Linked DNA regions of Oryzias latipes. The protein of the gene in region 2 interacts with the protein of the main gene of each other region in a pairwise test. Links are inferred from orthologs where the notes say so. Each region holds a gene or a part of one and is shown on either strand. Other genes may lie near its edges.

Region 1 (4,104 bases), on a different chromosome or scaffold from region 2:
CGTTCCACTCCAGAACCAGCCTAGAAACACCAGCATCAGCTCCATAAGAGCTGGGAAAGGAGCGCCGTGCTCCACCCGCAGGCCGAGCACCGACTGGGGACGTGTCTGAACACATCAGAGGCAGAAATCTAGCAGAGGACAGTCGGAGCGCGGCTCTCACCTACACAGGGTCTTGTTGCGGGCCAGCAGTTTTCCCAGCACCTCAGCTCCGGCCGACCGCAGGTTATTCCCCTGTGGACAGAAGCATTTCGTCAACCGATCCGTCCGTCCGTCAGGTGTTCAGCATCATTTGACAAACCTTCATGTCGAGAGATTTCACTGTGGTGTTGCCAAACAGTCCACTCAGGAGGATTTTGGCCCCTGAAGGTCAGACACAAAGACAAAAAACTAATGAGGTCACGTTTGTCAAAAATATCAACAATTAAAGGACAACACATGAAAAAACAACAACTTTCAGTTAAATTATAATAACTACTTTAACTTAAAATCCCACCTTGATCATCTTCTAGTGTATTTTCAAAGCGTTCCCAGTTAAGTAGAAATATGCTGTTTTTAACCAAAATCTAAAAAAAACCTTGTATGTCCAAATTCCCACCCCTGCCCTACATAGTGCCCTATATAGAGCGTTCTCCATTTTCTAGTGCTGTCTGAATCTACAATTCCAAATCCAGTGCTCTGGAAAACCAGTGTGCATCGGTGCTCACTAGATCGGAGAACATAGACCACAATGCATTGCGTCGGAACATTTTTTTCCCCAAAAAGATTTATTTAAATAATTTTTTTTAAATAAATCGTCAATGTTTTTATCCTCAGAAGACAGTGGACTCATAAATGATTGTTGCAAAACGCTCATATTAATTAAATTTAAACTTCATGAAATCGATGACATCATATCTGCCGTTTAAAAAAAAAAAAAGGAGTGAGCTTGGTGTCAGAATTGCTTTAAAAATCCAGGACACTGCATAGTTTTTTAGCATTTAGGGGTTCAGGTGAGAATTCGGACGCAACAGTTTCTGCAGAGCAGCAGGAGCTCATTAGAAATTCACCTAGAATTGTGGGCGGGACTGTTGGAATCAAGTAAGCCTGCCCCAACTCCCCGTCACCCATCTGTTTACACTCTCTCCCCCTTCCTTACACCCCCTCACCCACTAACATTAGTAGGACAACAAGAACAGCAGCAATATCTGAACTATCCCGCCGTCCCGTTCTGATCCAGATTCCAGCTCAGACCAGGAAAACAAAGACCTTCATTCTCTGCAGGTGGATGATCAGAATGGAGCGGAGCAGGGAGACCTTAGCCCCGCCCCCCACCCAGTGTATTTTCTACATCACTAATTATTTCTTTTTTCAGCAGCATCTTTTGGTCTGCTCCTGATTCACAGCAATTTGAATAAATAAATACTAAGAAACGCAATTCAAAGTTTGATTTTCCGGTGTTTGTCATAATCCTATGGCTAACAGTAGCCCCCATAGGCGGGTGCTGTCAAACACACCTTCCTCACTCAGCATGCAGTCGCTCAGCGACACCTGCGTAAAAGCGCCGTCCTGCAGGGCCCGGGCCAGCACCGAGCAGGTGTCTGCAGACAGGCTCTGTCCACTCAGATCCAGCCTGGAACCCTCCTGCAGCTGATCCAGGACCCCTTCCTGAGGCTCCACGCCGCCCTCCTTACACAGACGCAGGTACAACCCCCTGGAGTCCTCCATCGCTGGTCTCCACAGTCCCGATCATCTGAGCACAGAGAGCCGTCTTTGGTCCTCAGGGGCCCATCTACCGAGCAGCAAAAAAGAAAAACAGAGACTTCAGCTTAGTTTTGGTCAAAGGCAGCAAAAGTCCTGTCAAAGATGCCGCTAGCCTCCAATGCAGAAAGGTTTGGAGCTTGTGAGAGCTGTTCCTGAGTTATAAATAAAGTTTTCATAAAACAGTAAATGCATGTCTCTCCATCCTCCACGTGACTTCCTCAGATGACAGCGGAACCCACATCCAAAACCACGTGACTTGGACCTGAGACCTTCCAGCATCCCTAACCCCGAGTTCATGATTTTTGGTTTGCACCTCAGGGCCACCGTAGTTTCATGTTCAGCGTTTTTTTTTCAGCCCGCCTGATGAAGATGAAGTGATGAAGAGCTCAGACTTGAAAACGGGGGCTTCAGGGCAAAAAGCTGGACGGCTACGTTAGCAGAAACTTTTCTAAGTTGGCACAAAACCCTTCAATTCGTTCAAAGCGAACTGTGATTTCACTTCCTAAACGGACTGTTGAAGAGCTAGAAGATGGTTTCTAAGAAAGACCCACTGAAAGTTTGTCTGGCGGCAGACGCGAAGCGGGACTCGAACAGATGATCCACACAAAAACCGAAAGGCGAGACGTTTTCTCGAATGTTTGTCGGTACGAAATCCGAAGAAATTACAAAATAGCATCAAACAGACCCCAGCAGGCAGAATGCAGCGTCTCCTGATGATTACTGTGTTTACCATCTGACGGATGAAGGAAACCAGCCGTTCAAGTAACCAGGAAGTGTGATCCGCGCAAAGCATCATGGTCAGCGTAGTGAGATTTGAAAAAATTTTTCTGTCTCTCTTTTACTAACATTAACTATAATTTCATCTTGAAAAAAAGACTTTTACAAATAATAACTAGTTTTATATTTTTTAAATGATTATTTTCGTCATAAAAACCGGACCGCAAAGGCAAGAACAAAACTGTTGCGATTACCTTAATCCACCGCCAGGAGGCGACAATAAGACACCATCATCCGCTGAGCACAGAATTCTGTGGCCGAAGAAGAGCAGGTGGAACCAGGCATGGCTGGAAACACGAGCAGCGCGGCGTCTAAGGTGAGCAGCTCTCTGGTGAAACTGCAGTCTCTGCACGGAATGTTTGCTATCTACAAGAAGAAAGGGCCGACATCCGCCGACGTGCTGAACGCGCTCAAAGAAGCCTTGCTCAAAGGTAACCAGGGCAAAACAACAGAAACGAGCGGAAGACCAAATAAAGCTGCAGGTGAAATGTGTTTCCTCATCCTCTAAGAAGCGGGAGTGGAGACCCCCAACCCCCGGAAAAGAAAGAAGCAGTGGCTGAAGATGGGCCACGGAGGGACCCTGGATAGCGCCGCCAGCGGCGTGTTAGGTAACTGACGCCCTGCTGCGTTTGGGGTCCGCTGGGAATCACCAGCTCTGATTTCAGACCAGGTGATATTCCGCTAATAGCGCAGTGTAACTGTGAACACCTGATAGGTTTATGGTTTGTTTGAGCTTCTTTCTCAGGAATGTCCTTCAAAAACTAGAAATCTTTTTTTCTGCCATATTTCCAAGAGTTTGGATTGAAGGCAACAGAGAATGTAAAGCTGAAAAGTTTAAAGTGCCACTCCGATCATCATCTGACCTGTTTTCAAAGTCTTCCCTGTTGTCCTTTCGTTATTATTACGCTGGTTTTAGCCAAAATCCAAAAACTTGTTTTTTTTAGTACATTTTTTGCAGAAAGTCAGTAGAAATTCACTTCTGAGTTGTGGGCGGGACCATTTGCACAGCCAATGACACAGTAAGCACACCCCACTTCCCGTCATCCATCTATTTACACTCTCTCCCACTAGCTTAAAACCCCTCACATCCCCCCAGCCTAACATTAGTGGGGAAATAAAAACAGCAGCAGAGTATCAGATCTATCCAGCCGTGTGGTTCTGATCCAGATTACAGCTCAGACCAAGAGACGTTCATGCATCTATTTGTCTGACCAGAAGGGGGCGGAGCAGGGAGCTTTGGTCCCGCCCCTTTAGCTTTTTTCTCACCTGCTCCTGATTCGAATTCTCCTGATCTGGCAACATCTGCCACAGGCCCTTTAAGAAAAAAACTTTATTAACAACTGAGTTACCTTACATAGAACAACAGTAACTACATAAACATGACAAAGAATAACAATAACCATTACCTAACATAAAATATAGACCATAAAAGGAAAGAATAAACATAACACACACACACACACAAATAAGAATGTAAACTATCCAAATTAGGGCTGCACGATATGAGGAAAACTCGCGATATTAGTGATCAATATTGCAATGACGATACAACTTTAGATACATGAACAAATGGCAAAAACATTTCCA
Region 2 (3,996 bases):
TGATGTAGGTGCTTGATAGATCCATTAATGTCTTTGTTTTCCTTGTCTGAGCTGACATCTGGCTCAAAACTGTACTGCTGGAGAGCTCCGATATTGCTCACCATTTTTGTTGCACCAGTAATGTTAGGTTGGAGTTGTGAGGGGCTGTAAGCTAGCTGGACAGAGTGTAAACAAACGGATGATGGGAAATGAGGGAAGGCTTACTCCCCGCCAACAGTCATGCCCACAACCCAGAAAAGCTCTGCAGAAATGTATGTCCTAGAAAACTACACAGCTTCTTTGATTTTCCCTAAGAACAGCATAGTCATAATTAAAAGACCACTGGGAATGATTTTACAATAGATCAAAAGATGATCAGAGTGGGTCTTTAATTCTCCCCAACTGTGATCCTTTCCACATTTAAGAATTCAATAGGGCATAAACGGGTAACTTTTATTTTGAAAAGCAATGCCAACAAAATCATCTATCTCAGATATTTAAAAAATAATCATGGTATGTTGTTAATAATTACGGTCATAAAATAAATTTACATTTATTTGCATTTAAATTAAATTGTGCCTGCCTTTACCGTTTAAAACAAGAGTTCAGCAAAAATTTGAACACTTGGATTAAAATGTAAATTTTAAGTTTTTATCCTTTGATCCAAATCCAAAATGCACTTACTAGAAAAAAATAATTATATTATTGGTTATATTAATAAATGTATTGTGTTGTTGATTTTCCTTCTTGACAGTCTCTATGACATGCAAATACACATGTATAATGTGTATTTTCAAGCTTCTATTCCCACAGGAAATCTGTTTAATGTGCCAACAGTAACCTTAGGAAAACACTGAAGTTAACAAGGTAAACACAAGACAAGTCTGAATAATACTCTCAGCTATTAGTATATAAATTGAGATCCTTAAACTTGTGCATTTAAGAATGCAGTTTTCGGCCAAAAGTGCATCTTTTTAAAGAAAAGAAAACTACAGTCACCTAATTATTGAAGCCTTTGGATCCTGAATTTTTACATATTTTTATATTCAAACGCTTCACAAGTAAAGTAGCATTTTTCCATTATTTACATTTTATGCAGACATACATCAAGTCAGTATTAGACAATAAAAGAGAAACTTGACCTTTAACAAACAGATGTACCCACTAAAAAAAGAATTTGTTTAAACACAGAGCATGGCCTGTGAACTTTATGTCCATTCTGTTGCTTTTACTCAGCAGGTACAGAGTCAGGACCCTCATCCTGAAGAACTGCTGTCTCTTGGACATCAGAAGTGGGTGTGTCAGGTGGCTCCTGAGAGAGGTCCTCAGAACATCTGCTCACAGTGGGTGAAATCACATCCGGACTTGTGTCACAGGATTCTGTGCTTTGCTCTGAAGTGGCTGTCGTGGTTGTTGTAGCAACGCTTGGAGGAACTGGGTCAAATTCGTCATCTTCATCTTCTGAGATTGGTGACTCGTGGATATCTGAAAGGGACAAAAACGTCTTATGAAAACACTTTTGGGGTGCATGATTTGGTAGAAAAGGAACATAATATTAGATGTTAGTGGAAAAAAAGTCAAAATCTCAACTTACTGGTGAAAGCTTCTGGGTATTGTTTGGCAATTTTCCCTTTTAAAGTCCTAAGAAAAAGAAGAGACAAATCATGAGAAATGTGCATATTCCACATAAGTTTTCTCTTCTGACCCTGAGTGGTGGTTTCCCTCAAGCTTGCAAGACTTTCAGGATAGTTCCTGCTCTTCCTCATCCAGTTTCTACTGCTAGAGAGGTATTCACTAGTACCTGTTGTAATATTGACTGTTTGTTATATCATCAAATGATTAGTACTCCACATGCCTCTCAGACTTAAGGACTGATTTGGATTTTTCCACTCTTGTTGTCTTTTGAATGTTTGTCCATAGATGTTTTGTTCCAGTTTCCACCAGCTTGTGCTAACTTTAAAGCACACTTTGGGGAATCGAATTGGGTTCCACCCTGGATCTCCTGAGGCCAGGGTTTACCATCACACTATTCTATAAAGATATGAACGTGTCAATAGGTTTATAGATAATTGAATACACCTTCTTAAGGTGTAATGACTTACCTAATTCTTCTGAAAATGCTATCCAGATCTTTCTTCATCTCTACCAGGGTGCGGGTGTGGAGTAGGAAGCGGTCATTCATCTGCTGCAGCCTCACATTTGACAGTCCATTGAAGTTTATCAGCATTTCGTTGGTTTTTTCAAACCGATCGAGCCTGTTTCCACAATCAATAGACAGAAAAGACAAAAGACTTTACTTCTAAACTCAACAGTCATTTCACAAAGCAGCAAATCTCCCACATAAACAGACCCCCCCCCCCCCCCCCCCAACAAAAAAAAATAGATCAATCACAGCACGGAACTTACATGTGTCTCTGAGCCTGGATGATAGCGTTCACGTCCTCAGAGTTAACCATACTCAGCATTCTGCTGCAGAACACGCCAGATGCTGTGGGCTCGTCCATGATTTTTTTTTAAAGCTGCAATTGAAAATCTTCATTAATTCAGAATTTATACAATTCATGGAATTGAAAAACCGTGAAACTATGTATTTTATAGTTTACTACTATGCTACTGCCTGGACGGTTATTTAAATGAACTCGGACGCAAAAATATAAACTAGAAAAGAAAAATCACGTCTCCTACCTCAGAAGAAACAGTTTATGTATTTTGAACTTTGGTTTATTTGATAAAATAAATAAAATATATTCGACAACTGACTGCAAAACAGACAATTTGCTTCCGCATTTATGTCGACTTCCGGTCACAAGACCAGCATTTCCGGTAAAAAAAATGTTTTCCAAAAATGACACTTGCGTATTTTACTCAATGATTTCAATTTCGTTACTCTTAAATATAAACGGGATAAATGTAACATACATTTTCAGTTAACCTTCAGTAAAACTTTATGATGAAACTGTGGTGTCAGTCATGAACGACGGCTTAAAATGACTCGGCAATTGTAAAACTTTAAAGCCGTTTTCCTTGATATACATTTTAATTATTTTAGTTTGATTTAATTTAATTCTAAATGTTATTGCATCGCGCAATCAAAAGATATTTTTTCATCAACTTGTTTCTGCAGTCTGAAACTCGCTCAAATCTAAACAATTTTAGTTGTCGCAGCAGTAAAATGTGAAAGTTGTCAAATTTATTCATGAAATCAGGAAAGAATTGTATCTTAAGTGGGGAAATAGAATGATGACCTACTTAGAAAGCTTAAAAAAATATAATTTTTCAAAATAAAGTTTATCAAAAATATTTACTTTACATCCAGTAGTGTGTCTCAAAATTTCACATACTCCCAATTATTTAGGTTTAAGAGTCTACCTTTCAAGGCTTCGTGCCTTGAAAAGTTTTAACTGTTACATTGATTGTCTAGAAAAACCTTTGCAGGTTTAAAAGGCAGCAGCATTTCATCCTCTGAGATTATTCAAATGTCTTGTCTCCTTGGTGTGCGCCAACTAAATGCTTTTCACACCACCACATGGCGAAAAAAAACTAAATTTAAATATTCACACATGAACCATCTGTGAGAAAAAAATAGCATTTTGCTGTCGTTTATCTGCATTTCATAGAAGCTGTTTTCTCATATTGTTTCTACAATCGTCTGTTAAAATATATAAAATGTTAAATCTTTTTTTTAACTTTTTTTCCCTATCATAGCTGAAAGTGACTGCAGAGGTCCTCACACACAAGAATAACTCATAAAAAGGTACTTGCGGAAAAAAGCACAAGATTACTTTTATTAAGAGACAAGTAAAAAAGTACATGATGTATAAAAATTACAAAAAGCTTTGTCTAACTTGTAAGCTAAGGAAATGCATAGCAACAGTACATGCAAGTCTAGAGTAGAATTTCCTATGATGTCCTAATACTCTGTCATTGTAAGCTACAAGGTACAAAGGGGAATACAGTTTGTTTGCAAACTATCAGCCATTACAGTCTACATGGATGCAAAGGGATCATACAGAAGAA

What was found.
Region 1: the proteins of kxd1 (region 2) and lrrc45 interact in binary tests that used the Homo sapiens proteins (3 or more experiments, as listed by UniProt). The two-hybrid records come from large-scale screens. The link is inferred for Oryzias latipes from reciprocal best matches to the Homo sapiens genes KXD1 and LRRC45.

The regions. Positions count from the first base shown.
Region 1 is NC_019877.2:23,060,562-23,064,665, forward strand, and holds the start of lrrc45 (leucine-rich repeat-containing protein 45), read right to left. Parts: upstream 2,801-4,104; 5' UTR 2,712-2,800; exon of another isoform or gene 2,695-2,711; intron 2,537-2,694; exon of another isoform or gene 2,426-2,536; intron 2,413-2,425; exon of another isoform or gene 2,292-2,412; intron 1,769-2,291; 5' UTR 1,705-1,768; coding exon 1,494-1,704; intron 361-1,493; coding exon 299-360; intron 232-298; coding exon 161-231; intron 21-160; coding exon 1-20. Other genes in the region: trub1 (probable tRNA pseudouridine synthase 1), read left to right, coding at 2,801-2,948, 3,027-3,125. UniProt on the Homo sapiens protein: Component of the proteinaceous fiber-like linker between two centrioles, required for centrosome cohesion.
Region 2 is NC_019864.2:21,181,592-21,185,587, reverse strand, and holds kxd1 (kxDL motif-containing protein 1), read right to left. Parts: upstream 2,801-3,996; 5' UTR 2,665-2,800; intron 2,499-2,664; 5' UTR 2,484-2,498; coding exon 2,386-2,483; intron 2,235-2,385; coding exon 2,082-2,234; intron 1,621-2,081; coding exon 1,574-1,620; intron 1,465-1,573; coding exon 1,208-1,464; 3' UTR 420-1,207; downstream 1-419.